4 linked regions of the Cricetulus griseus genome follow. The protein of the gene in region 2 interacts with the protein of the main gene of each other region in a biochemical or structural test. Links are inferred from orthologs where the notes say so. Each region holds a gene or a part of one and is shown on either strand. Other genes may lie near its edges.

Evidence for each region.
Region 1: the proteins of Rnf14 (region 2) and ubiquitin-conjugating enzyme E2 E1 form a complex in vitro, tested with the Homo sapiens proteins (3 studies listed by BioGRID, with this or other methods). The link is inferred for Cricetulus griseus from reciprocal best matches to the Homo sapiens genes RNF14 and UBE2E1.
Region 3: the proteins of Rnf14 (region 2) and Ube2e3 form a complex in vitro, tested with the Homo sapiens proteins (2 studies listed by BioGRID). The link is inferred for Cricetulus griseus from reciprocal best matches to the Homo sapiens genes RNF14 and UBE2E3.
Region 4: the proteins of Rnf14 (region 2) and Ube2e2 form a complex in vitro, tested with the Homo sapiens proteins (2 studies listed by BioGRID). The link is inferred for Cricetulus griseus from reciprocal best matches to the Homo sapiens genes RNF14 and UBE2E2.

Annotation. Positions count from the first base shown.
Region 1 is NW_023276807.1:175,390,507-175,397,915, forward strand, and holds the end of ubiquitin-conjugating enzyme E2 E1, read right to left. Parts: intron 4,213-7,409; coding exon 4,080-4,212; intron 3,017-4,079; coding exon 2,869-3,016; intron 1,670-2,868; coding exon 1,572-1,669; 3' UTR 899-1,571; downstream 1-898. UniProt on the Homo sapiens protein: Accepts ubiquitin from the E1 complex and catalyzes its covalent attachment to other proteins. Catalyzes the covalent attachment of ISG15 to other proteins. Mediates the selective degradation of short-lived and abnormal proteins.
Region 2 is NC_048595.1:199,332,481-199,339,889, forward strand, and holds the end of Rnf14 (E3 ubiquitin-protein ligase RNF14), read right to left. Parts: intron 4,692-7,409; coding exon 4,561-4,691; intron 2,129-4,560; coding exon 2,071-2,128; 3' UTR 880-2,070; downstream 1-879. UniProt on the Homo sapiens protein: E3 ubiquitin-protein ligase that plays a key role in the RNF14-RNF25 translation quality control pathway, a pathway that takes place when a ribosome has stalled during translation, and which promotes ubiquitination and degradation of translation factors on stalled ribosomes.
Region 3 is NC_048599.1:96,286,692-96,294,827, forward strand, and holds the start of Ube2e3 (ubiquitin-conjugating enzyme E2 E3), read right to left. Parts: upstream 4,956-8,136; 5' UTR 4,819-4,955; intron 4,207-4,818; exon of another isoform or gene 4,186-4,206; intron 3,729-4,185; 5' UTR 3,701-3,728; coding exon 3,507-3,700; intron 1,774-3,506; coding exon 1,723-1,773; intron 1-1,722. UniProt on the Homo sapiens protein: Accepts ubiquitin from the E1 complex and catalyzes its covalent attachment to other proteins. In vitro catalyzes 'Lys-11'- and 'Lys-48'-, as well as 'Lys-63'-linked polyubiquitination.
Region 4 is NW_023276807.1:175,953,609-175,961,017, forward strand, and holds part of Ube2e2 (ubiquitin-conjugating enzyme E2 E2), read right to left. Parts: intron 3,000-7,409; coding exon 2,816-2,999; intron 1-2,815.

The sequences.
Region 1 (7,409 bases), on a different chromosome or scaffold from region 2:
CCTGGCTTGTTTGGACTATGTAGACCAGGCCAGCCTTGAACTCAAAGCCTTCCTCTGCTAGGATTAAAGGTATGTACCACTATGCCCAATCTTGGCCGGTTCTTTAAAAACAAACAAACAAACAAACAAAAAAACAAAAAACTTTTTTTCTCCTTTTTAATTATCACATGGATATTATGTCACTTCTCTAGCCTGCCCTTCAAGGTATGTATCTATTAGCTTTTTCCTCTTAGGTATTGTATATAGATCCCTGACAAGCAGTCTATTTTTTTCTCTTGACTGCATTTAGATCTTATGCTTTAATACAATGGAATTAGTTACCATGTTTTTAAAATGATAAGAGTAAACATCTCCTGGGTTAGCTTTCCTTTTTCTGAGACATGATCTCAGGTAGTCTAGGCTACTCTCAAACTCAGTGTATTGCTGAGGATGACCTTGATCTCTAATCCTCTGGCCTCCACCCACAAACTGCAGCAGCAGTACTACTGAGTCAGAGAAACTGCCGTGCAAGGTGGTAGCACCAACTGACCAGGGCAACTCATTTCTTATGTGCCCACTGCCATTGCATCTGCAAATCAGATAATGCTTTCAGAAACAGGGAGCAAGTTTATCTTTGAAGCTTAGCTGACTTTGACTGCCTATTGGGTTTTGGGTTTTCGAGACAGAGTTTCTCTGTGTAGCTTTGAAGACTGTCCTGGAACTTGCTCACAGAGTACTACCTGCCTCTGCCTCCTGGATTAAAGGTGTGCCCTACCATGCCCAATTCTATTTTTTTTTTTTTTTTTTAAGATCCCTCCAAATCTGCGTGTAAGTACCTGTCCTGGCATATGTTAGTAGCATGTATTCCTTAACCTGCTCCAGAAGCAAAGACTCCAGAGAGGCAATGAATATAGAAGGGTCAGGGTTGTTCTTAATATTGTTTATTAGCACAGTAACAAATGCAGACGTAAGAAGTCTAAAACACATAACCAGTCCACTGAGCATTTGCTATTCCACGCCTACGGTTAACAGCTTAAGGTATTTCACTACAGGTTTCCACAAATCCTGATTCAACCTTTAATTTGCAAATGAAATAAAATACATTAACTACTCGTTTCCTACATGGTATCTCATAGCCAGGTGTCCATTTTATATTTATATGAGGTAACAATCTCTACAAACTGTTAAATACCATTGTTTCCTTCTAAGAAAAACAAATTCAAACTTTTTTAAACAAGAAAATAGGACTTTACATAAATGGCCATGTGTGTAACCTATACAAATTTAAGCTGATTTTGAAATTACAGTAGACTACAATCAATGGAACCCAAGTGTCTACACATACATTCTTTTCTGTTGTACTAAAAGTCAGCTAATCTTGCAAAACTGACAGCTCTAAAAGTCACTATTACCAATTTGTCTACTGTAGCAAGATACCTTAAGTTACAACAAAATCTTAGGAAGTAAGACTGAATAATATCTGTTATAGAAATACCCTACTCTTTACCAACTCCCACCCTCCCCCACCCTTTCAAAATCATAAGCAGCTCTCTTCTGTGACAGACAGATAATGGAAGAACTGAAAACCCAGTTTATGTAGCGTATCTCTTGGTCCACTGTCTGGCCATTCTGTCGTGTTCTGCTCTGTTGGTCATATACTGAGTGGCAATACTTCCCACCAAAGGGTCAGCTGGAAGAAAAATAGGTAGATTACTTTGGAGAAAGAAAATCAGATACTTTAGATATAAACACACAGCAGTTATAACCATGCCCTATGTCTGAAACACCATGGTGTTTTCAAATCATTAAAAACAGTTTTTGAAAAGATTTATGTGTATGGATGCTATAGATGTGGGCTGCCATGTGGGTGTGGGACTTGAATCCAAGTTCTCTCCAAGAACAACTGCTCTTAATAGCTGGGCCATTTCTCCAGTCCAGCCTTCTAATCTCAATAAAAAGTAAAGCAAGGAAGGTTAGGAAAAGTCTTGCTAAAAAACGGAGTGGCCTGGCTTTATTTTCTTATTCTCCTTCTCTCCCAGCAAGTGGCACTCTTGTTCTTCATGAGTATGACCAAACTTACAAGTGTGGATACCCAAGGCGCCAGGACCAGCTCTGCTCACAATTAGAGCACTGTGGATGCTGTGAAGTCTGTGGCTGGTGCAATCGACACTATTATGTCGGTATACCTAGAAAAGGCCAAACCCAGACCACCCAACTAAATGTATTTCTCTGAAAATGGAAGGCCTAGTTAAATTTATATGTTTATGCAGAAAAATAAATCATTTCTTTTTATTTTAAAATGATTAGACCTGGGCTAGAGAGATAGCTCAGAGGTTAAGACCACTGACTGCTCTTCTAGAGGTCTTGAGCTCAATTCCCAGCAACCACATGGTGGTTCACAACCATCTATAATGAGATCTGGTGTTCTCTTCTGGCTTGCAGGCACACATGGAGGCAGAATGTTGTATACATAATAAATAAATCTTAAAGAAAATAAAAAAAAATGCCAAAATTACATTTGCAAAGATCCTTTAAAAAATAAATGAGTAGTCCCAGTAAGATTGTAATTCTGAAATAATTTCTTTTTATTTTAAAATGATTAGTCCCAGTAATTCTGTAATCACCAAGTACTTGGCAGAAAAATACCTCTTTAAAAAGTGAGAATTGGCTGTGGGGCAAGTGCTCACTGAACCACCACCTAAACAAGGAGGCAATAGAGCCACCCACCCAGCCTCAGTGCTGAACACAGAATAATAAAGTGGCTGCATTTTCCAACTAGTGGGTTAAACTCTTGATTAAAACATACTTTGAAAACTTGGTTCTTGGTTTATGTGGAAAACAAGTACCTTTTCATTTAGTAAGAAATAAAGTACAGATTATGACCCTTACCAGGATTGCAGTCTGTAAGGAGTGAGCAGATAGAGAGGAGGACTTTCGAGATGGTTAGTGCTGGGCTCCAGTTGTCTTTCAATATGTCCAAGCAAATAACTCCTTGGCTATTAATATTACAGTGATAAATTCTTGTACGAAATGTAACCTAAAAATAAGATTATTGTTAAGCAGCATTCAGGTAGGAGACTTTTTACTACATTTCAGCTGGCTAATCCATAAAATGTAGAAGACTTGACTGTGAGGTTACAGAGCTCACTCAAACCATTTCCTTTCATTTTAAGGCAATACCCACTGCCAAAGCCAAAGGGAGTTCAACACTTCCTCTCTTCTATAGGGTTTCTCTTTTCTTTACTTCTTTTTTGTTGTTGTTGTTATTTTTGAAACAGCATTTCTCTGTGTAGCCCTGGCTATCCTGAAACTCACTCTAGACTAGGCTGTCCTCAAACTCAGAGATCTGCCTGCTTCTGCCTCCCTGGGATCTACTGGGATTAAAGGTGTGTGTTAACACCGCCTGGCAGGGTTTTTCTTTTCTTAATAGGTTAGCCTTGTACTATATATCCTAGACTAGCTGCAAACTTTAATCCTCCTGCCTGTTGCTGTTTCCAGAATGTTGGGATGACATGCTTGGCTTAATTTTAATGTTTTAAATATGGATATTTCTAAGTTTGAATTGTTGGTTGTTTGCTGACCTCTTGTGTTAGCTGGTAGTAATACACTGCTTTTGAGTAAGCTTCAAATCTAGTAAGCTTGACTATAAATAAATAAATAGCACATGTTTTAAGCACTTACCTCTAGAAATGCCTACTGCCAACTAAGTAGTCAACCCAATCAATAGTTATTATATTCACTTAAAACTACAAACATGTATACCCAAGAAGCTGAGATCTTTTCTGACCCGCACATCATATCTAGACTGTCTATCTAAATCACAGACTTTACCTAAATGGAGTATCCATAGGTAAGAAGGCATTGGTAGTGGGGGAGAAGGAATGGGGGTGGGGGGAGGGAGAGGGAGAGGGAAAGTACATGTGAAAATATTAATAATTTAATAAAAAAAAAGAAAAAAAAGAAAAAAAAAAAAAAGAAGGCATTGGTAGGACACCAACACAACCATGGAAGGAATTTAGCTTTTGTGATTACACTTTTAAAACTTCAATGTGTCTCTCATAGGAACAGTCAAATCTGAGAATACATATGAGATTTCTTACCTTTGGAGGCTTGAAGGGATATTCTGGTGTAAAAGTGATATCAAGGAAGAATACACCACCTTCATATACAGATCCTGGAGGTCCAAGAATGGTTGATCTCCACTCATAGATGTTGTCACCTTTGGGACCAGCACTGTGAAATAATACACCAGCAGATAAAGGATGGTGACACTGTCTCAGAAAAGGAAAGAAGCCCTGCCCTGCCCCTTTGGTTTAATGCCTGGATTCTTCATAAAGACTGCCATAAACTCACCATCCATCAGGGATGACAGAGGAACGTCTGGTCCATGCTAAGCCTACTAGTTATAACTAGACACAATACCTTCAACTCTAAAATGTCTTAATATGTAAGGTAAAACAGCAATTAAAACCATGGCTTCGGTTGGTGACTGTTAGATCTCAAAGAAACCTGAGCTACGTCTCACTAGGCTGTGTGTCTTCTCCCTGCACTTCTCACCTCCCTCCCAGAGGCTGGGCTTCTATCCCCCCTGGCTGTCCTGAGCAGATAGAGAGGAAGGACAAACTGCTCAGTTCCCCCTCCTGTTCCCCCCCCACAGCCTCTCTACCTTATAACTCAGCTGTTTTGACTATGGGTCTCTCTTGGTTTGCTTGTCATCCCCGTGTCGTCCGTCTCCCCCCCCCCCCCCCCGACTCCAGATCATGGTCCTGTTCAATCTGCTGGCCAGGTTCAGTCTGGACTCTTCCAGATGTCCCTGCCTGTTCTCCCCCTTTTTCTACAATAAAACCTCCTCAACCACACCTAGGACAGATCATGTCCTCATTTAAGTTTTCTCAGGGCTACATCATCTCTTGTAACTATTTCTGGTACCAAGAATCTCATTTTCTGACCCATAGACTGACTCTTCCTTGTGCTCTATCTCCTTAATCTTTGCCCTAACTTAAGGTGCTTGGCAGAGTTTGGACCCTGGTAGGGCTGGTCAGCTAGCCAGGCTAGCAAATTGGTGAACTCCAGGTTGAGATAAAGGCATTCAACGCTGACTTCAGTCTCCACGGGCACACATAATGAACATATACATATATACACTTTTGCTTTAGCAATAGATTTACCCTGAGACAGAGTAGCCCAGGCTGCGTTGGAAGTCATGATCTCCTGACTCAGCTCCCACAAACACTGGGTCATCCATAATCCCAGCTTGATGATTATGCTTTTTACCTTATGAAGTAATGAGTGAGGTAGGAGAATGTCAAGGATGTAATCAGTTTTCACGTCAGTGTTAAACTTTAACTCCAGTAAGCCATTAACCAAACCCTATTCTTGTTTAATATGCTTAGGCTAGACCCTCACTTGGCTACAGTAAGTATCCTTAAACATCGACCTGGCTACTAGAGTGCTTTGTATCCAAGCACCTTAACAAAAGTGGTAATAGCTTACCCTCCAATTCTAAGACCTATGAGAGTGCAATACACCTACCTGCTCTGATCAGTAAGGAAAATACTATGGCAAGGACAAGAGTTGGGAAATAGTACACACTGCATGCAGGCAAATGGCAATGCAGACAAACTACTCCCCTCAATCCCCCAGACAGGTTTCTCTGTGTAGCTTCCCTGGCTGTCCTCAAACTCAGAGATCCACCTGCCTCTACCTCCCAAGAGGTGGAATTAAAGATGTGTGTCACCACTGCCAGGCTCAAAACTGCTCTTTTTAATATACTAGATTTGCTTCAACTCTTAATGAATGCTCATGTACAGGGCAGAGTGCCAAACGGTCATGACTAGGGGCTGAATAAGACAAACTGTCCTCAAAAAATTTACATTAACTGATTTAAAGCAGGGTTGACTTTCAGATGAGGGGACAGAGATGAAGTGGAAAGGAGAGCAGATAAAAGGCTACCTGTGACTCTACTTCCTTACACCTAACCACACTGTTTCTTTTCCCTTTCAGTTAGGATGAGAGAAGGATGAAAATAACATGATGAGAGTGAGCTTTGAAAAGAGAACAGGCTGGGAGTGAAAACACTAACAACATTGAGATTTTAAAATATGGGCCTGACCAACTGGGATAGACATGTTGCAGCAAGAGCTCATACATAGCCCCAAACACATGCCCTGTGACCTGAGCAAGTCATTAAGCCAGTTCAAACTGTGTCAGACTTGGCAGTGCTCAGGAATTAAAGGGAACTGAGGGAATCTAAGACTGGCTCACAGGCGTCACTGATGGTGATGGTCACCAGTAGAGAGAACCGGCTCAGACAGTACAGCCTTTAAAACCCTTTAGTGTTATTTCCAGGGACCCAAAGCCAGTGTGGTAGACTGTAATCCTCCTTAGGTTAAGGCAGGAGGCTAGCCTGGGCTGGAGACTTTCTTTAGGTTAGATATCAGTACAGTCACTCATCTTCGAGTACACAGAATTGGTATCACTTTCACAAGGGGTGCAGGGAAAGACTCTGAAAAATTACTTATTTCTACTTACATATATGTGACTATGAGAAAGGGGGGGGGTGATCCTCCTGCCAAGGCCTCCAAATGCTGGCATGATAGGTATGCACCATCACACCCAGATGCCCATCCATTTCTCACTAAAATGGCTGAGCAGGTTTACACTTGAGGTCAGCTAAGTTTATTTCTACTAGCCTTCTGCCTTCTCCCCCTTTGTTATGTAACACAGGCTGCCTCTGAATTCAAGACTCCCTGCCCCATCTTCCCATGAGTTGGGACTGCAGGTGTCCACACTCCAGCATTGTTGCTTGCATTAACAGGAAATACTTTGGTTTCCACAATAAGAAACTTAACTGTCACCAACCCGAATGGTTACACTATATGATGTTCTGGATGGAAGAGTAGCAAGTGCTCTTAATCAGTGAGCCATCTCTTCAGCCCCACTTACAGATTTTCTTAGACAGTTAAAGCAGCCAAAATATGGTTCAAAATGAAAGTAAAAATAATAAAACTCTTTTACAAGGCAAAAAAGATGGTTGTTTCTTGTCACATACACTCAAGAAAAGTGAAAACTGCTTCTAATGTAAACCTTGTATTTTTTTTCCCCTATAATGCTTTCTGACCCAACACAGATTTAAAGCACTAGGAGCAGGTGTAGCGAGCCACAGAACAATTCTGCCAGTGCAGCCAAGTCTGCCGACTGTCAGGCAGCATCTCACTTAGTCAACAGGACTCTCCCCACTGGTGGCTTTTGTTGCGACTCCAAGGTGCATGTGACCCATGGATATGCTCACTTTGTTAATGGTACACTGCTGACTATAATTCCTGAAGCCACCATTGGCAGTAACTTCAACTCAACACATGTGACTTAAAGAGAATTTAGACAGCACAGATGAGTTCAAGTCATTTATGATACAAGCATAAACCACCAAC
Region 2 (7,409 bases):
GAAGATTTTGTACCTAAGGAAAAAAAACAAAGCTATAGTGAGATGAGTAAACAAGTCTAAGACTAAAATCACTGTTGGCTCTTTTAAGTGAGTAAGTGGCTATATATGAGTGAGGGTTCTCCTGTTTCTTTCATGGCAATTCTGTAAAGGCTTCATTCTCACCTCTCTCTCTCTCTCTCTCTCTCTCTCTCTCTCTCTCTCTCTCTCTCTCTCTCTTTTGGTTTTTCGAGACAGGGTTTCTCTGTAGCTTTGGAGCCTATCCTGGTACTCACTCTGTACACCATGTTGGCCTTGAACTCACAGAGAGCCACCTACCTCTGCCTCCTAAGAGCTAAGATTAAAGATGTGCACCATTCTCACTTATAAACAACAAAATGCACAATAGCTAATATTAAATGAACGATTGCTATCATGCTCATGAGCCAGGGCATGTCAGTGGCTACATTGAAACATACCAGACTGAATTCCTACCAACATATTTCTCTCAGAGACTTACTCAATATTTGAGCAAATCATTTCTTGCCTTCAATTTATTTTTTAACTCGTGATTACATAAAATGTGCTGGATGGAAGCCCATGAAAAGAATATGTTCAAATAAAATAGGAGTAAAAAAAGGCACAGGCCCAAGAAAAAAAAGGAGGTGCTGTTCTGGGACTATTCCTTCTTGATTTAAGATAAGTTTGTGTGTGTGTGGGGGGGGTCACTCAGTAGCAGGGCTCAAGGCTCAGGCTCAGCATGCTTGAGGTCTTAGATCAATCTCTAGAACAAAATCAAACAGCCACCAAACATACACACACCAACCAAAAGACAGAAACATGAGCTAGTTTTAAATTTGATCAGTGCTTTGGTTCAGAAGCAACAGGGCATCTCTATTTCAATTGTAGGATGAATTTTAAACTATTTTTATTTAAGATTAAGCATCCTCACTGACAATCCAGAATCAGTCTGTGCTGACAATTAAGCAATTCCTTAATTTTCAGTGTTAAAGTAGAAAACATGTGTTCACAAGACGCAGGTCAATTACTGTCATTTTCAAAATATCACCAAGAGGCTACCAAGCCACTTATCAAATCATGAGGAAGACAGTTTTCCAAAAAGCCAGTAAAACCCAGAAATAAAATCCAACTATCAAGCTATAAATACCACTCCAAACACTGGCATCTAAGGGGGGGAGCCAAATTCCTATTGGTGACTAGAGGACCCATGTGTTCACAAGGTTGGGGCCAGAACCATGGTGGCTCTTTCCTACTCCAGCAGAGGAAACAACACACTGCTGAAATCAAGACTAAAACTGCCCTTGCCAACAGAAGGCAGGGGAGCAAAGGAGAGAGTGGAGAACAAAATGTGGCAGAGACAGCTCTGAGCCTTCTGTCCAGGCGAGCAGAAGGAGGAGCTCTGAACCAGAATCATTCAAGCCCACAGTTGGCTCTAAACTAGTGGATTCAATACACCATTCATAAATACCAAGTGACCCACAGGGCTTGTGTGCTAACAGTATCTTTAAATTTATTGTAAATTTCTATTCTGGAAAGTGGTAAATCAGAATGACACTGGGACATCTGGTCAGTTACAGAGTAGAAGGCTCCCTTCAAAGGGAACTGAAGAAAGAGTTTGCAGTATACAGCAAATGGGTCAGGCTCTCAGTGCAGTGTCAATAGGGCTGTGACTGTCCCTAGCTGCAAGGTATAGTACTGAGAGGGCTCCAACAATGTCAGGCTTCTTGGACATAGTCTGAAAGTTTAACTCTTGACCCTCTCCCTAACCTAAAGCTTGGGGAAGAAAATAAATATTTACTTTATAACTATCCACAGTTTGGGCATATTATAATATTTAATCTATAGTTTTCATTTCTGAACCTTTGGTATATAATTGTTCGGAATTATGTTACATGGAAAAAAATCTATGTGCCTTAATCAGTAGTACCAAAGAAAAATATAAACCCTGTTCTTCCTTCTACACAGGAAGAGTGAATATATGGCACCCTAAACATCTTGCAAGGTTTCTTTGTGTACTTGACGATAGATTAGGGCAAACCATTCCATTTCTATACGGCGAGCAGAAGAAATGAACTAGTCTTCAATTTCATCTTCCCAAACGTCTCCATTAACATCCACAGCATGGAACAGTCTGAAAGCATAAAACAGAGGTACATACTTATTTGAATCTCTTTCCTTCTTTCTAAAACATTCTACCCTTCTGATAACACCTTTGCATAAATTTTCTTCCTTAACCATTTCTTTAAGGAGGGCTGAAATCTAAGTCTTTATAAACAAGCTGCAAGATGTTTGAAAGAATAGTATTGGTCAGCTAGGCATTGTGGTGTTTGTCTTTAGTCCCAGAATTTGGGAGGCAGAGGCAGGAAGATCTCTGTGAGTTCAACTTAGTGATTTCTAGGCCAGCCACGGATGTGTAGAAAGATCTCCATTTAAAACAAAATAAAACCAAAACAAACAAAAACAGAAACAAAAAGTTAAAGCAAAACAAAACAAATCCAGTACTGCATGCCAGGAATCTGTCACTAAACTGTAGCCCATCCCTCTTTTTACTTTATAAAATATGAGGAAATGGGCATTACCAAATGGGAATGTATATGGTCTGTGAAATAAGTCAAGAGTGGGGAGTCATGCAGTTTGGAAGAAACTGAACTCTTTCAGTAAACAAGCCAGACAAGTGCTAATCTTTCCATGCTCTCTGGTTACAGTCTTGCTCCTGCATTGGTGGCATGCTGTGTAGAGGTCCTTTGGTTTCTTTCCCTCTCAAAAGCTAGTGCCATTTCCAACACTAACTTGTAATACTTCACAGAAGGACTAGGTTCTTCAGTTTCTCTGAGTTTTATAACACTGATGAGTGTAGGTTCTCTACAGAAACCAATAGAGAAGAACACTGATAACTTTGGAGAACTGTTGAACAATAATCCACACTGTTTCAAAGAATCACCTTAGATTCTTTTCTAATAACAAAAGGGAAAACATTAAATGATAGCACACTAACAAAGGAACAGTCTGACCATGGTTCTCTCACTGGAGTACCACATGCAGTATATCACATGAAGTATCATTGTCAAAACTGTTACTACTGTTGGGTGGTGGTGCATGCCTTAATCCCAGCACTGGGGAGGCAGAGGCAAGTAGATCTCTGAGTTCAAGGCCAGCCTGATCTACAGAGTGAGTTCCAGGACAGCCAGGGCTACAGAGAGAAACCTTGTCTTGAAAAACAAACAAACAAACAAACAAACAAACAAACAAACACCCAAACAAAACAAAACAAAAAAACAGGATTGAGAATTCAAAGCCAGGGCTACCAATATGGCCCACAGGATTGAAATGCTTGCCCCGAGTTATAGCCACAGGACCCATGGTGGAATGGAATGTGATGGAAAGGAGGTAACAACTGCTAAAAGTTGTCCTGACTTCACACATGCACCATGACACAAATATACCTACGCACTACACACACAAATCATTTAATTTTTAAAGAAATCAATATAGGCCAGCCTATATCACATATGCCCTTTCTTTTAAAATGTGGAGTAAGTGGGGTTGGAGAGACAGCTCAGCTATTAAAAGCATGGCTACTCTTCCAGAGGACCTGGAAGAGTACCTACATGGTGGCATCACAACCATCTGTAAACTCCAGTTCCAGGGGATCCAATATGTTATTCCAGGCTCTGAAGGTATCAGGTGAACATGTGGTGTTCTAACACACATGTAGGCAAAACACCCATAGGTATAATTTTTTTTTTTTTTTAACCCTCTGAGACAGGGCTTCTGTGTGTAGCTCTGACTGTCCTGGAACTCTGTAAACCAGGCTGACCTCAAACTCAGAGACCTGCCTGCCTCTGCTCATAACTGCTGGGATTAAAGGCATTCACCACTACTGCCTGGCTAAGGGTAATTTTAAGGTGAGAATAAAAAGTAAACAGTAGCCAGGTGGTGGCGGCACACACCTTTAATCCCAGCATTTAGGAGGCAGAGACAGATGGATCTCTGAGTTTGAGGTCAGCCTGGTCTTCAGAGTTCCAGGACAGCCAGAGCTACATAGTGAAACCCCGTCTCAAAAACACCAAAAAAACAAAACAAAACAAAAACCCCAAAAAACGAAAAAAAGTAAAAAATAAATGTTTTTCAAGAGGTGTATACTCTGATCATAAACCCATTTCAAGAAGATTTAAAAATCACATGTAGGAAGAGTTCTCCAAGTCCAGCTACTTTAGAAAATAAACTAACCTGCATAATGGTATCAAAACATACTACAGATAGGCTAGAAAGACAGTTGAGAATGCCTGCTATACAACCATGAGGACCAGAATTTGTATTCCAACACTCATGTAACAAATCAGGCATCCTGCAAATATCTGTACTTTTAGCTCCAACTTTGAAAGATTTGATACCCTCTCAGTCCTGTTAACTCGAGTTCACATGCACACACACAACACACACAACACACACACAACACACCACACACACACACACACACACACACACACACACACACACTCACTCCTGCCTGCACCATACAACTTTTTAACCACTAATCTAGGGAACCCTATGTATACAAACCTGTTAAAGCATGGAGAGTCAGGGTCAGTGAAGTGTTTGTAAGGGTTGGCTCTGGAGAGAGAACCCATGCAGATCCAGCAGAAGTACTGCATACAGCCGGTACAGGTCATCTTGTTACAGCCATCTAACTTCTGGTGGGAGGAGACATGACAGCAAGGTGATGAAGGCAGAAGAGGATGCACAAGCCAAAAATAACATACCATATTCCCCAGTCCATTGTTCTTTTCTCAGGGAGGACTGGTATACAAGCAACAAACACAATGACAATCACTTATGCTTACACATTTGCACTGAAAGTAAAATGCAGACATACTGAGCAGGTGGTCCTACAACTAGATACTTAGCACAATCTCTTCTCATAAATATAGACACAAGGCTGGGTGGTGGTGGTGCACGCCTTTAATCCCAGCACTTGAGAGGCAGAGGCAGGTGAATTTCTATGAATTCAAGGCCACCCTGGTCTACAGAGCTAGTTCCAGGAGAGCTACGACTGTTACACAGATAAACCTGTCTCAAAAAAACCAAAGAATAAAATAAAATAAATATAGACACAAATGAGAGGAACACGTAACTAGGTAAATATTAAAATGTTACTTTATTCTCAGTCCTAGAAATAGAATCTAGGTTATTTAACATGCTAGGTACCCACTCTACCATACACTATATCCCTATCCCTGTCTACTTCTTACTTTTCAGACAAGGTTTAAGTTCACCTTGGCCCTGACAATCCTTCTGCTTCGGCTTCTCAAATGGCTGGGATTACAGGCTAAGCCAACCAGGCTGGGATTAAATTTTAAATTTCTGTACAAATCAAAATTAATAAATGGAATCATATCTAATCTGTACCATAAGGCTCAGGAATGGTAGAAGTTGTCAAATATGATGCTACTTTCCTTAATGATGTAACTAAGGAATTATCAATTTCAGTTACAACATACAAGACTGAAAAAAATAAAATCAAATGGAAGGCAATTTTTGATTTTAAAACCCATTAAGATTTTGGTGAGAAGTAGTCATCAATCTCATTTTAGGGGAAGGGCGTTTAGGTTATCGTCTCCACCATTGCCTGGATTGTCAGTTCTTGTCATCCTTGTAGATCTCTGGAAGTCAGTCTCACTAGTGCCAGATCTCTCCTTGGACCTATAATGGCTCCCTGTAATATGGTATCACTCATCCTGCTCTCCACTATTCTTCCCCCAACTCAATATTTCTGCTCCTCCATTTCCTCCTCTCCTCTCCTCTTCTCCTGCTCTCTTTCTGGCAGCTCCCCCTCCCCTACCCTCATGCTCCCAATTAGCTCAGGAGTTCCTGCCCCTTCCTATTCCTGGGGTCCATGCATTTATCCCCTAGAGTACTTCATGTTTCCTAATTTCTTTGGTGAAGAGGATTATAGGCTGGTAATCCTTTGCTCTATATCTAAAATTCATAAATGAGTGAGTACATACCATGTTTGTCTAAAATGAGATTGATGACTACTTTTTATGCCATCCTAGAGCCCTCATCCAGCGGCTGATGGAAGCAGAGGCAGACATCCACAGCTATACACTGAACTGAACTCTGGAACTTAGTTGCAGAGAGGGAGGAATGAAGATCGAAGGGGTTGGTAGCAGGTTGGAGAAACCCACAAACAGCTGGCCTGAACAAGGGGGAACACATCGACCCCAGATGCTGTCTGGGAGGCCAGTACAGGACTAATCCAGACTCCTGAACATGGATATCAATGAGGAAGCCTCTGCACTCTAGGAGGCCACTGGTAGTGGATTAGTATTTTTCTCTGGTGTAAGAAGAAACTTTGAGAACCCATCCCACGTGAAGGGTTCTTGCCCTGGACACATGGAGAAGGGCATAGGCCCAGCCCAGGATGATGTGGTGAACTTTACGGAGCCCCCGTTGAGGGCCCTACCCTGCCTGGGGAGTGGAGGGTGGATAGAGTGAGGGTCAGGGTGGGGTAGGAGGGGTGAGGGTGAGGGGAGGGAGAGGGAGAAGGGATGGACATGTGAAACAAGCTTGTTCCTATTTTGAACTAATAAAAAAAAAAGATTTTGGTGAGAAGAAATAAATTTGTCTATTTGGCTAGATTAATAGGGCAAATGCCTCCATTTCCTGAGCACATATTTATTAAACACATTTGCTATTCTGAAGGATAAAATAGTTCTGCGAAGTCAGTTATGATTTTTTTTTTTCTGAGACTGAGTCTCATGTATCTGTGTTGGCCACGAACTTGCTACATAGCTAAGGGTGACCCTGACCTTGTGAATTTCCTGCCCCATCTCCTAAATGCAAGGACTGAATACTGGTATGTATTTCCATGTCTACTTTATTATTCTGGGACTGAACCCAGGACTTTGTGCACTCTAGGCCAGCACTCTACTAACGGAGGTACATCCTAGTCCCTGATAAGGCCTTTAAAAACAGACTGGGGGGTGGGGGGGTGGAGAGATGGCTCAGTGGTTAAGAACACTGGCTGCTCTTCCAGAGGTCCTAAGTTCAATTCCCAGCAACCACATGGTGGCTCACAACCATCCATTATGAGATCTGGTGCCCTCTTCTGGTGTGCAGATATATGTGGAAGCAAAATGTTGTATACATAATAAATAAATAAAATCTTAAAAAAAAAAAAAAAAAAAAGACTGGGGCTGAAGGGATGGCTTCTTGGTTAACAGCACTGGCTGCTCTTCCAGAGGACCCAGGTTTAATTCTCATCACCCATATAGTGGCTCACAACTATCTGTAACTCCAGTTCTAGGGGATCCAAAGCTGCCTTCTGGTCTCTGCAGGCACCAGGCATGCACTTGGTACACAGATAAACATGCAGGCAAGCAGTCATACACATAGAATAAAAATCAATC
Region 3 (8,136 bases), on a different chromosome or scaffold from region 2:
CTAGTCCACTAGTCTAATGGCCAAATGCTAAGAAAGCTTCTATTTCCTCTAAAATAATTCTCAGTGACATTGTGCAAACATTCTTACATTCAATGTAAAAGCTGGTTCCTTCACCACTGCAGCATGGCTCTGAGGGCAGTCAACACAAGTCTACCACATTCTGTAAATATATTCTCGTCCCCTGGATTGTGCTATTTGCAGAAAAGTCAACCACCTTTGAAAATGTTTGATCTTATGTGCAACTTTTAAATATCTGAGAGTTTTGTACTGATCGTACGGCTCTCGTAATGGTAAAATAAGTACATATATTGCAAATTAAGTGATTCTTCCAGAGAGCAAACTTAACTTGACCTTTTCAAATGAACAGATTTAAATACCTTTTAGGAGGTTAGACAAAAATACTTCAATTCATTTATTTTTAAAGCAGCAAAAAACATAACAGTACTCACTCATAATTAGTTGTAAATTTTCTAGTAATTAGATTATATGGAAAAAAGGTGAAAATAATTTTAACGACATTTATTAAACATAATCACAATATTATCACTGCAACATGTAACAGCAGAATTTTATGCTCTGCTAAGCTTTTAAAATCCAATGCATATGTCACACTTTTAGCATGTCATTTTGAACTAGTCACTAGTGAGGCTGCATGTGGCCAGTGGCTACTGCATGGGATAGCATCCCTCCTAAGTTTATACTTTAGTTGGACATACCTACTTTTAATAAGCACAATGATTGCTTATTTCCAAAAAATTCATTGGAAAATTCAGAATCAGATCACCTTATCAACAGATCTAATTAATGTACACAGTAAGAGGTCAATGGTTACATTTATGTCTATAGCTGATTCAGAGGTTTGTCGGATCAACACAAGGAAACACAGAATTTGTAGCAGAAACAGATTAGACACTAAAGCCTTTCCCACCAAACTATAACATTGCCACAAGTGCACCAGACACTCAATCATAAGTATCTCTATGCAAATTATTTAAATTTATCTTTTAATTGGATACATTCCATAATCCATAAAAATCACTGTTCAAAAATAAAAGTATAGTATGCAAGATGAAATGAAAAAAAATTGATAAAAATGTCCCTGACTACTTTTGATGCATCTTAACATTATTAAGCACAATAAACTTAAATTATTTTTTCCAAATTACAATTTACTCTCTACTTACTAAGAAATTTTGAGTAATTAGGACAATTGCTTAAAATGTAAATAATTGCAAGAATGCACCCTCCGGAAAACAACTGAAACTATTAGTTTAGCCTATAAAATTTATCCTTAAGGCGAGTTACTAATAAATCAAACAGAAGCGATTACCCTCTTGTTTACCACACTTACATTTTCTAACACCGCATTTAGCAATTTCTAAATTTGGAGGTCAGTTCAGATTACACACAAACAGTTCTTTAAAGCTGAAAATTTCAGAAATCACTGAAATATACTTGTGAACAAAAATGCTCTGCAGACATACAAGCAAAATCAGCACCATCCACACTAATTTCAGAAGCCAAAGTCCTGTGTTCCTAAGTTCACAATGTATACATGCTATCTTTTCTCCCATCTTTAGTTAATCCAGATAATTTTAGTTTAGTGCACAAGATAAAACAAATGAAACCAGCTTCTTAGGCTGCACATACATGCAGGCAAGATCATTACCTTCTCAATATTTTTCCACAACTTGAAATGCAAACAACAAATGTGTTTCTTACCTGCAGTTGGGAGGAGGATCAAGGGTTATTTCAGCTAGCTCCTTCTGAATTCTGTAAGTGAAATGAGAACAAACAAAAAGGATCTGAGGCAGTCTACAGAATAACCGGGGAATTACACTGCCCTCTACCACCATGCAGTTAAATGCAAGGCTGGCTTTGCCTTCAGTAATGCTAACATGGCTGCTTCCTCTTTGTTCTCAGAGGCATAACCCAAATCCCTTAGCAGAAACTTTGCGGCTCTTTTTCTCACGTGCTATTGTAAATAAGTGTGTCATTTACACCTGATTTGAGAAATAGTCCTTTCTGACTACTAAGTGAAGGATATATAATCTGCTAAAAACCACTCTTTACCAAAGAAATTCTCTTTTCAAGCTTATATGCAAATGAGACAAAAAGGGAGGAGGGAAAACACCAGAGATTTTGACAATGATTTCAAGTCACTTTTTACTGAGCTAAAAATGAATAGGCTGCTACTAGAGCACATTAATAGTTTTTGGCGATATTTTATCTGTCAGAAAAGTTTAAAAATTATAAACATGTTTGCCAATGAAAAATTTCAAACTGGCACTCACATTGACTGTAACTGTTTGCCTCTGATTTTTAGATATACCTTTAAAGTTCTATAAATTTGCAGCAGGGAAGAAGACAAATATATAAGCTCAAGTTACAGGCAAAGGCAACTCTGGTTTTCTTCAAATTTAGGATGTTTTCAAAACTTGAGACATATTTAATACGTTCCTCCACAAGATTACAATGAATCGGGCAATTTAGATTATTTCAAACACTGTTCCTCGTCAATAAAATATTCTAAAGCTGTTAGCATTTGATTGGTGGTTAAAATCCATACCAAGAGTTTGGCTCACAAGAAGAATGCAACATTCCATCAGCTTTTACATTTTTCTTCCTTCATTTATGACCAATTAAAAACAACAACAAAAAAACACCTGTGCTGGGTAATGCTGTGAGCACATTTTAACTGCTAGTTTCTCTAGGTATCCCAATATGACTATCACTCAGAGTCCCAATGGCAGGATCATATCTGTCATCCCAGAATATGAAAATCAACAGAAAACAAGGGATCTTTAACTCTGGCTTGGTTATGTTTCCCCTGCTTTTGAGTTAGCCTGTCAAACATATCTACAAGTTTTAGAGTGAAGAAGGAGGACAACCACGACACCGAATAACATCTAAAACTGTAATTGGCTACTTTTCAGTTTCATCTGCCATCACCAGGAGGGATAACAATAATTTACCCAGTCACACTTGTGCTGCAAGATTTCAAGTCTTGTCCTACACACTGTGGACCAATTTAAGGCACTCGGTAAGACCTGCTTCCCAATATAGCCAAGCCTGGTATTTAACAATTTTCTAGTAAATATTGCCATTTCTGACCATTCAGTTTTATGGAGAGAGGCACTGCTGCTCTCTAGAATTGTCAGTTTCACTCAAGCATGACTCACAAGAGGAAACCTCTCCAACGTACCATCTAATTGGGGGTTCACCAAATTTTCCTTGCTACCCTCTTCATCTGTCAGGATCACCCTCAGCTCCATTTGAGACAGCTCCTCAAGTTACCACAGTACAGAACAAAGTAGCCTTGCTTTAAAGTCAATAGCTGTAGGAAGGCTGCTTATATACCACATACAGAATGACAGCTCATCCAAGTTCAAACACATTTGATGGAGAAGTATTTCTGAACTATTGCCACTGTTGTTAAACCAACAAAACCACCCTATGGGACAGAAGGCAACCTGACAATGTGAGTCCTGCCTTGGAGACATTACCTTTTAGCACTAGTGGATAACTTAGCAGTCGTTTTGCTAGAAAGTTTGGTGTTTTTCTTCTGCTGGGTGGCAGAAGGTTTTCTCTCTTCCTGTTCCTCTGGCTCTGGAGCTGCAGGGTCTCGCTGGTCAGCATCTGAACTGCCACTGCTGGTGCTGGGACTCTCATCATCCGACCTTTGCCTATCACTGGACATCTTGGTGAAGTTATCTCTGGGAAAACTTCTAAGGAGAGAAGGGACCGTCAAGAAATGTTAAATCTTAAAATAATAATAATAATAATAATAATAATAATAATAATAATAATAAACAGCAGCATGTTCTTCTCTCTATTAGTCTTTTATTGAAAAAGATTCGACTGCCCCCATACTTAAGGTATAGCAAGGTTACAGGGAGGCCGATGTGTCTTATAAGGCAGTCGCTGAGGGATTTACCAAACTCAAGTTAGAAAACCCACTCACATTTTTCCCCCATCCCTTAAGACAATCTATCAATTGTCTACTTTCTCAGAAGGCATGAAACAGATTTGCCAAGGAACTTGGGCAACGGGCATTAATAACATATGACAACTGTAAATAACAGATCTCTCGGAGAATGTTCAAAAGTCACTAATATCGTCTAAATATTTACAGGCTGACACCGGTCTGAGCTACCAAATCCTCCTTCCCAGAGGGAAACATACCCTGTTAGTCGCCCATATGCTTATTTACGGTGGCGGGTCCTCCCGTGCGCACCGAAAGCCTTTGAACACAGCACTCAAAATTAAAAAAAAAAAAAAAAAAAAAAAAAAAAAAAAATCAACTGGCAGCCGCCCCACCGCCTTCCCCACGGCCAGCGGCGAGGATTCACCCGGCCAAGCCGGAGCTGCCACCCGGGGAAGGGCAGGATCCGAACTGCACCTTCTGCAAAGCTCCCGGTGCCACCGACGTCCCCCGCTCAATTCCTCCCTCACCGACCGACATTTTGTCAAAAAAAAAAAAAAAAAATTCCGCAAAGCGGCCAAAAGCCCGAGGGCAAAACAAACAAACAAACAAAAGCCCTCCCCCACCCCCCACCCCCAGAAGTGCAACAAATTGGCGCGGCCCGCCCCGGGGCGAGCGCCGGGCCACGCAGCTCCGCGGTCCTTTGTGGGGAGGGCCGCGCAGGGGACCGCGCCACTGCGCCCGCCGCCCCGCCCGCCGGGGGATGCGGGACCCGCCGCCCGCGCCGCTGACTGACGAGCGCGGCTGACTGAGGAGCGCGGCGCCCGGCGCGAACAAAGCTGCCGCCCCCGCCCCCGCCGCCCCCCACGCGGGCCCCGGCCCCGCCGCCTTACCTCGGCCGCCGCCCCGGCCCGCTCGTGCGCCGCTACGCTGTGGGGGAGGGAGAGCGCCGAGGAGCCTTCCTTGAGGAAATGGAGGCAGCTGGGGGGGGAACGGGGGGGGCGGAAAAAAAGCCGCCGCCGAGGCTCCGGCCCGGGAGTGTGGAACATCGAAAGTCGCAGGCGGCCGTGCAGTGCCGCGCTGCGGCCGGAGGGTGGCGCCGCCCCGCGCTCCGGGAGCCACGGTGGGGTGGGCGCTCCGCCGGCCGAGGCAGGGACGCGGGAGCCCCCCGCGCGCTCAGCCTCCCGCCGCCCGGCTAGGCTCGGCTCGGCTCGGCTCCTCCCGGCCGCGCAGTCAGCAAGTTCCGAAGAGAGAGAGCGAGCGAGCGGAGGGAGGGGGGAGGGGCGGGCGCGGCGGCCGCGCGTGCTCGCCGCTCGCCTGGCGGACGGGGAGCGAGCTGCTCCTGCGCGCCCCCGCGCGCGCGTCCCCGCCGCGCCTCCTTTCCACCGACGGGGGTAGGGTTGGATGAGGAGGGGGGGTAAGATGCGCACGAGTCCGCCCGCGCGCGGCCGGGACAAAGAGCGCGACGGGGACCGGCGGGCTGGCCCCTGCGCCCTTGGCCGCCGAGCTTGTACTGGAAGAGAGGGAGGAGGCGGGGGCGCGGTCTCGCGGGGCCGCGGGTGGCTTCCGGCCTGGGCCCGCCTCCGGGGCAACGCTGCCCATTGGACAACCCGCCCCTGAGGCTAGTGGCCCCGGGGTTGCCAGGGGATCCCGTACCTGAGCAACCGCCCGGGCGCGTGGCTGAGGCTTCCCAGATGCCCCGAGAGGCACGAAATGAATGGTGTGATTGAGGAGGCCAAGCACTGGGGCAAAGGGAAGCCGCTGCTGGCCCCTCTGTGAGCTAAAGGAAGTGGCAAGGTGAAGAAGTCCAGGTCTCTGAGGGAGGTGGAGGGGATTTTGCGACCAGGGGACCAACCTGAGCTAATCTCTGGCACCCATCCTGCAGTGTCGATGCCAAAGGGGACTGCCCTCTGGACATTTTGAAAACTTAGAAATCCCAAACTATTTTTGAAATGTCCCGCTCAAGATGTAGTGAGTGAGGCGATTGGGGGGGGAGGGGGGTCTATAACCTGACATTTCTGGCAGCAGGCTCTGCCTTGCATGAGAAACACCAGTTCTGGATAGAGAAGCCCTGGGTGGATCTATGGCAGTGGCCTCATAAAAACTTTTAGGGAGGAATCATGAAGGTTGCGCTACTCTTGTGTTTCTTTTTGCAGAATCTTAAGTGGAGACCAGTTTTGCCCCAAGCACAAAGTAGACAGAAGTACAAAAACTTCCTGTTTGCAGCTCCTGAGAACGTGTTCCAGTGATGGAACCTCAAAGGAATTTGTGCATTCCTCTCCCACAAGTGTCCAGGGCAAAAGTGCTGGGAGAATGAGTTCACAGAAGAAGCAAGAATGGCAGAGCTCTGTGAGATGAGCCAGTGTTCAAGAGAAAGAAAAATAACTAAGTGAGCCAACACACTAGTTTTCCTCCATATAAAAAAGTTTGGGTAAAAGAGCTACTCAGAACTATAAGCCACACGTGTAACTTTCCCAAGACACACACTGGGCAAGCTTACACAGAGACTATAACCTGTCCCAGTTGGTATGTCCAAAGCCTAGTCTCCTTACTTCCTGCCAGGAGTTCCAGGTCTGTCAGAGGACTCCATTACTGAAGTTCACCTGGATGAGAGGAAGGGAACGGTTTCCCAGTTAGGACAAAGTCCAGTCTCCAGAGGGACTGTGATCTGTGTGTGCATCCACACACCAACATTTTGATTTGACTGAAAGGGTACAGGTGGGCAGGGCGACGCAGAAGACTCCCAACTTTACATGATGAGACAGTGGAGCAGCAGCCAGCCAGTTTGAAGTTTGGGCATGTTTGGGATGCAGCCCTGATTGTGTATAAAAGGTGAGTTTCTGAGGGAAATTCAAATACCCTAAAAATAGCCTGAGGGCCCAAAGGCTAATGGTTAACAAAAATTCCATGAATCTTTGGTGTTTGGATTCGTGGAGTCCCGATCAGAATATTTAGGAACTACCAGATGCTTAAGCAAGTGGGAATGCACTTGTAATCTTCAGTTTGTAGCTGGCAGAAAGAAAATAGAATGGAAAGTACAGCCGGGCAGTGGTGGCACACACCTTTAATCCCAGCACTGGGGAGGCAGAAGGAGTCAGATCTCTGTGAGTTCGAGACCAGCCTGGTCTACAAGAGCTAGTTCCAGGACAGCCTCCAAAGCCACAGAGAAACCCTGTCTCAAAAAAAAAAAAAAAAAAGAAGAAGAAGAAAAAGAAAGAATGGAAAGTACTATATTACAGGAGGGAGAAATGAGATTGGAGCATTATTAACTATCAATTAAAAAACATCAGTGGTTCAGAAGCAGCCTTTCTGTGGAGAGAGAATAACTATGCAAAGTAGAGAAGCATCCAAGTGTGTGACAACCTTTGTGTAATAAAATTTTGTTTAAAGTTAAAAGAAAACTAACAGTGGGGTCATTAATGCAGCTTGGAGGTGTGGCGATGGATCTGAACCAAGAGAAGTTATTGGACTGAGCCTGGAGAGATCAGTAGGCCTGAATATTCAGGTGAAAATATACACAATAAAGACAAATGTTCTTGGCAAAATCAGAAAACTGCTTGGGGATACACAGCTCAGTAATAGAGTGCTTGCCCACATGCTCAAGGGCCAGGATTTGATCTCTAGCACCAGGCAATAGAAGAGCAAAAAATAGAACTTAACAGGCATGTGTCACATAATTCTTCCCCTGTTGTTAAACTGACTGTGGAGACAGTGAAAGGATCTGTAAGTTTAAAAAGAGAAGTATCTGCTGCCATAGCACCAAGGACTCAGCTACCTCCATCAGTTTACTAACAGGTGCTTCTTCTAGCTCAGGGCAGGGTACCATGATGTCACCACCCTGACCCAGGAGCAATGCTCTAGTTATAAGCTGTTTTAATGTAAAACCCTTCCCCACAAGACCCCCTGCTTTTGCACTTGATTTTCTTCCATTTGTTTTTGCAATGTCTGTGTTTGAAACTGGAGAGTGTGATGAATAACCACTTCAGGTGATATATAAGTCTAACGTAATGCAAATTATCCCCTAAAAAATTAGTAATTTCCCCCAGAAGGTGCCACAAAAATAGTACCAAGAAGCAGACATCAGCTATATAATGATTGTTCCCACTCCTCCTCTCTCTCTCTCTCTCTCTCTCTCTCTCTCTCTCTCTCTCTCTCTCTCTCTCTCTCTCTCTTCCCCCCCCCCCGTCCCTCTCTCCCTCTGTCCCTCCCTC
Region 4 (7,409 bases), on a different chromosome or scaffold from region 2:
GAATAAAAGCTCTTACAGCAACTGTTTATCTCATAGAATGACAGTGTTCAGGAAGACTTGTCATCTAAATATTGATTCTTCATTTTTTAAAATACAAATTAAAATGTTATTTTAGGTCCTAACTGAAACCCCAGTACAGAAGGAAAGTCTCATTCCCGAAATAACCTCAAAGCTTTAAGACAGCAAGGAGTGAGTTGGCTATCAAGAGACCAGGCCAATGCTGCATGGGTGTGATGGTGGCCCCTTCTCTTCCATGATCCTCAATTTTCCCACAATTTAGCAACCAAGCAGCATTTTCACATGTAAAACCAACAGTAAATGGCTTCACACAGTGCCACCTGTAACCCATTAGGGGATCTTATTCAGACAATTCATCAATCACAGATTCAATGATTTTGCCAGTGAAGTGACTGTTTTCTCTAGGAAGCAGCTAAAAGATGACTCTTACTGTAGCAGTATTAGTAGTATTTCCTATTGGACGTCAATCAGGACTAGGCACAGAAAACCATCTCTAAAGTCAGTTTTATCCCCTATTTAAAGAGTGTCTTTCACACACATCTTTAATTCAAGCACTTGGGAGGCAGACACAGTCGGTTCTTTGGGAGTTTGAGACCAGCCTGGTCCACAAAGCAAGTTCCAGGACAGTCAGTTCTACATAGAGAAACTGTGTCTCAAAAAACAAAACAAAGAGGGGGAATCTTTTTTCCATAATTTATTCATGAAATCATTAGGGGTGCTTTCTAAAATACTGTGGTAAAATGAATGGGAAGGTGCATTAAACAGCACACCTTCCTTCAAAGGCAGCTTTGTTTTGAGGATTTTGTTTTTGGTAAGGATACTCCCAAACAGAGAAACGGGAGATCTCTGCTGATTAACAGTCATAGGGAGTGCAGACAGACAAGCAGGACTACGCCCCACAGACCTGCCTGGTCCTCTTTCTCCCCTGCCTGAAGCAGCCCTGAAAACCTCAGCGTCAGCAGCTCAGGGCAGGATGAGAGCTCTTAGATGGAACTGCATAAGATCTGGATTTGGACAGTCTTACCCATCCTCCCCAAACCAGCTTTTACCCAAATGTTACATTTCTCCACTCCTAACCTTTCTTATCCTCCCTACCCTAGTCCCACTTGGCAGGAGCAGGTGTCACCCTGCTAAGGCCTCCTGGACATGGAGTGTAACAGCAAAAAGAAACGTTCTCCCACCCCAGCGTGTTCCATTTTAAACTGGTAAATATCTAGAGCTATCTGACTTTATATAATTCTCTCGAAAATGGTCAGAAATCCTGGCAAGGAAAAAGTGAATATTCAGGCAGGAGTACATAGGCTGCCTGCATCTATGACAGCTATGACTGTGGCCCAAAACATTTGTAGACCACAATGTCACAACAGGATATCAAAGTTGGATACCCTGCATTTAGTTAGTATGAATGTCTTAAATGACCAGTTACCATAACTCTCACCAGAGGGTCTACAAAGATTCATCCCAGGCCTGTGGACAGAACTCAGTTAGAAGGATACACAGTCTTTGGTTTTTTGGAAAGCAGTTCCCTAATTCATATCTTCCAATGTCTTATAAAGGCATCATTCAACAAAGAGTTCCCTGTACCTGAAGTTACATGTGTGAGAAGAAAGTTAAAGTAACACCTACATTTCCTATTTGCCATTTTTATTCGTTAAAAAGGTATTAAAGAACATAAAATCACTAGCAAGCATGAGTCCACTGAATGTAATCTGCCTTTCAAATTTTCTTCCAAGCACCAGACTATAATATAATGCTATCAAAGCAGATTCCCTCTAAGCCCACCAACATGTCAATCACTTTAAGAGGTTGAAGTATCGACAGAGCATCATCCAAGTACCTCCTTTCCAGATTTATCCATTCTCTAGGGAGAGGGGAAACCTGAATCAAGACCAACCCTCACCTAATGTAATGAAATCAAGATGCATTAACACCAGCATTTCTGACTTTACCAACTGGGAGGATCAGAGACTAAATTGTCACTAATAATTGCTTCAACAGATGTGTATGTGTATGCATGTGTGCATGAGTGTGTGTGTGACAGAGAGAATGTGTGTGCACATGAGAGAGAGAAAGAGAGAGAGAGAGAGGGAGAGAGAGAACGAATGTATAAGTCAGAGTTCAACATCAGTTATTTCCCCTATCACTCCCTGTTCATCCTGGTTTGATTTTTGTGGTTGTTGAAATAGGATCTCTTCACTAAACCTGGAGCTCACTGACTGGAAAAGACTTGATGGCCAGTGAGTTACAGAGATCCACCTGTGTCCAACACACACACACACACACACACACACACACACACACACACACACACACACTCCACTCTCCCACCCCCTACTCACAGCACTGTGGTTACAGATATGTGCCATAATGCCCAGTTTTTATATGGATGATGTTAATCCAGACTCAGCAGCAAGCACTTTGCCCACTGAGCCATCTCCCCACTCCCAGACCTAGTCAAGAGATTCTCAGTGTCTATTCTGTGTTACTGAATAGAAAAGTATATTCATGATCAAATAACCATAAATCAAATTATACTTTTATAATGTCCTGCTCATGTTTTTCTAACAAGATAGAAATATATCAATGCACTACAAGTACAGATTTTATAATATGTCATGACTCTGAATTGGCTTTTAAGAGTTTTTCACAATTAAAAACACATTTTAAAAATTATATTAAGGGGGGGAACCTGTAAACTCTATAACCTTCATCCCGGAAAAATGACTAAATACAAGGGAAAATATGAGTTTAAGGTGATAACTTGAAAGCAAATCCAGAGCTGCCAGCAGCTGGTTACCTTTTGGCACTGGTTGACAGTTTGGCAGCTGTCTTGCTGGATAGCTTCCCCTCCTTTTTCTTGGGCTGAACTTGCTCTCGCTCAGGTTCTTGCTGAACACTCTCCCGTTGATCTCCATCGGAACTTCCTCCACTAGTGCTTGGACTGTCGTCAACTCTCTGTGCCTCAGTGGACATTTTAGATCCTGGATTAAAGATGAAACATCATTTAGTCTGCTGTGGGAGGGACTACAACAAGGTACATCAAGAATGGAGAGAAAATGAGACTACAAAACAAAAGTAAAATTAGGTATAAAAATGGGAGTTGCCTAATTACAAAACAAATAACTCTGGGGGTTGCCAAAGGTTTTCTTCTACGAATTTATGTAAAATGTAGACACAAATATTGGTAGCACTTTTATTCACAAGACAAAAAGTGGAAACAATTCAAATGTTCTCCACCTAGTGGGTAACACGTGGTTCATCCACATGACAATATACCTAAGCCACAAAAAGGAATGAAGTCCGGTATCTTCATGCTTCAGCAGGAAGACCCTGAATCTAACTGAGAGAAGCCAGTACAGCCACAAGGACCACAGACTGCACAAGCTCATTTGTAAGAAATATCTAGACAGTAAAATCCATGGGAACATAGAGACAGAGAAAAGGGAAGTGACTTTTACTGAGCAGAAACTTTCCTGTGAGTGATAATGCTCTTAAGTGGAGGTCAGAGCAGAAAAGCCTCAGCGTGGCTATGCTTTGTTTCTGTAGTTCTGAGGACAGTAACCAGTGTCCCATTGTGTAAAGCAAGTGCTCTACTCCTGAGCTACTGACAATCCCCAGGCTAAGCTGCACATTTTAAGATGGTGGAGGTATAGTTTGGGCAGAGTGCAAGTTCAGCAGAGTTCAAGCTCCAGTATATACAAAAAATGAAGGAGGCTAACTTTATAAGGTAAATTACATCTCAAAAGAACTGGCATAAGACAAACCAGAAGAGACTTGAGAGTTGGCTCAGCAGTTAAGAACACTGGCTGCTCTTGCACAGAACCTGGGCTCCATTCCCAGCTCCCTCAAGGTGGCTCACAATGGGCTGTAACTCCAGCTCCAAGGGATGACACCCTCTCTGACCTCGCTGGACACCAGACACATATGTGGTGCACAGACATACATGCAAATAAAACAATCATACACAGAAAATAAAAATAAATAAATCTTTTAAAATGAGAGAGAAAGAAGGATTGAGAGCCTAATTTTTTCAGGCTTTGGGCTAAGCACTCTGGGCTCAGTTATGAGAAGTCTGGACAGGTAAACAGACCTGCAAAGTGTCCTGGCAAGTCATCACAAAAAGGCCCAGGGCTGAGAAACAGGGGCACTGCCACGCTCACATCCAATCGATACATCCTCAGAGCTGAGCCAAGGTTAAAATCCTCTAAGCTGGGAAATTGTTTTAAGTAACCTTTGTGATAACGGAACAGAGGCCACGTGATTCCAAACAAGAACTGAGGCTTAGGAGAGTATGGGCACTGACCCAGCTCCACTAAGCAACCATGTTTCACAAGAGATAGAGACTGTACTGAGACACTGATGGATTCATTTTTTTCCCCAGTCTGGAGGAAATAGCCCTGGAGGTTGGAAATTCACTTTGCTCTGGGTTCATGCTCCTGGAGCAGCTCCGATTACCAACTCAATTTCCTCAATACCTTGATACCTAGGTAGCCGTTATAACCTAGATAGCAGACACAAAAATGCACTGAGTGAAGAGGATATCCCTTCTCCAATCTCATTCCATCATAATCAGCCCCAGTTTGATCCTTACTATCACATCCTGTCTGACCCAGCAAAGTGACAGACTCAGAACTGAACTGACAAAACCCATATCCAGATTCTACAGGGCTTCAAGCCACCAGTAACCATTCTGAGTATCATGTAGCTAAGGCTCAGATATACGTCTCTGAAAAAAAACAAGACTGCCTGTGACTATTGTCATCACCATCACCACTACCATCATCATCAAAACACACACACACACACACACACACACACACAGAGAGAGAGAGAGAGAGAGAGAGAGAGAGAGGAGAGAGAGAGAGAGAGAAGAGAAGAGAGGAGGGAGAGAGAGAGGGAGAGAGAGAGAGAGAGAGAGAGAGAGAGAGAGAGAGAGAGAGAGAGAGAGAGAGAGAGAGAGATTTATCTAAATTCCTCTTGAAAAAGACTCTTTTCGGTTACTCTTAAATTAAGACTTTGAAATAAAACTGTTCCTGATATGGTCAAAAGTATGCTTCGGTGCACACAAAAACAAAAGCCTCACTTAAAACACAATGCATTACTATCATTACCTAGTCCAAAGGTATGACCCAATAACTAATCAACATTCATCATCCTCAGTTCAACGTAGAGTTTGCTCAAAGACATGGTGGCTTCTTAACACAGGCCTTTAGCAGACTGAAAGTTTTATAGGACAAACTTTTTTTTATAAGACAATAAACACAGCAAAGGACTGGAAGAGTCAGGAAGCACAGAGATGAAGCATCAAAAGACACCACATATAGCATCACCACCCCCAGCCCTAATAGTTCCTTTGTCCAAACAGCTCTCAAACACTCACAGGAAACCAGACTGCTCCCCTACCTTCTGTAAATGGAGACCATCATTCTCCGTAGCTATGACACATTTTATGAGCAATAAAGTCACTTAATAGAATACTGAAATTTTATATCAGTATGTTTCACACCTAGCTCTACAAGTCTGAGTATATTTCTTGGGTTTTCTTCCATTTTTATTTGACTTTAAGCTTATTATTATTGGGTTTAATATTTGTATTCTTTTTCAGCTTGCTTCTTTGAGTTCAAATCTACAAAAAGTTAAAAAAAACTTGTAAGTATGTACACTATAGATGCTAGATAGAGCATATATACAGGGAAAGAAAAAGAAGCACTCTTAGGGTTAGATGTTCTAGGAGCAAAATGCTGCTGGAAAAAAAATGTAAAGAGATGTGAAAGAGTGAAAAATTGTTTTATGTATCCTAAACCTCAGGCAATCTATCACACCACATGGCAAACACAAGAGCCACAGAAAAATAGTTACCTTACACTGAAGCCACTGCTATGACTGCTATGTCAAGTCATGGCTATGTACTGAGTTAGTCATAAAACCACACACTCGGTTCAGTATTAAGTACATTTACATACACCTAATAATATGTCAACTATATAACTACTGAATAGACTACTCAATGATGTAAAATACCATAATCTGAGACTGAAATTTCTAAAACTACTACAGAATACCAGAAGATTAAGCTACTAAAACTACTAGTGACAGGCTTGGGGGGTGTGGCTCAGTGGTAGAGCACCTTGCCTAGCGTATATGGGAAGGCCTGGGTTCAATCCAAAACATCACCACAGAAAGTGTCTAAATGCCTAAATAGGAGCATAATTTCTATAGCTTTATAGCTAAAAAATTATCTACACTTTTGATCTAAGATACCTTATTTCATCCAAAACTTGACCTACAACTGACAAATCCCACCCCTCACCCCCACCCCCACCCAGGGCCACTGATAATCCTTATTAAATCATTTAGAAATAAAAGTTTAGCATCACCTTTTCAAATGTCAAGAATTAAAGAAATGTCTGCTGAGTGTTTTCTGAATCCTTGATTACAGAAAATAAAAGTGACTGCACACTCAGGCACAATTAACTTTTATGAAAGATAATACTCTATAGATCATTCCAATAACTATATGTATAAAAATGGTGACTTGTCTCTCTAAAGTATAAATAAGTTCCTGAATAAAAACTTTTAAATATTAAAATTAATTCGTAAAGATCTAATTCCATACAATTACCTAACCTAAAGGAAGCTAAATTCAAGCGCTCTACACACAAATATGTCTTCTAATAACAGTTTCAAAGATCTTAAGATTCCTAAAGTGGTATTTCATTTCAGATTCAAAGTGAACCTTAGTTCCTAACTAAAACATAAAATAATATGGTGGATTTTCCAAAAACACGTTACAATTAAGAATTTACACATACTAATTTTCTATGCTTTCTTTGATAGGTACTCTATGTTGTGATTATACTCTGTAAATTACCAGCATAGTGAGTGAAATTCACCTGTTCCATAACAACAAAAGGATCTGTCTGTAAATCCCATTGATGAAACCAACAATAGTCAAGTCCACATTGCTATTCATTAAATGTCATGATTTTAAAAAAGAAAACTTGTCATGGGCATCTTGTAGTTTTTCTACTTGGGATTTCTAAACTTTCCAAAAATGTAAAATATTTTATATTACATGCCGAACATGCAGCGCTATCCAGCTTTTCAAATGACTGAAAAGATATTTATGGGGGAAACAACAGTGGAGCACCTGATTGGGGGGGAAAGTGTGCTGTTCCCTAGGGAAAACAGCTCAAGGTATGACATATGAAAACACTCCATCTTCATCATCGCCCACATACGAAAGGCAAAGCGCCCAGGAGCATCCCAACTGCCTGAGTAAAGACAAATATTTGGATTCCCAAGATTCAGATTCGATTATCACATTTCCAGAGCGTGCTTTTCAAAAATCCAAGGATTTAAAACTAAGACGAGCTTTTAAAAATCTTTCA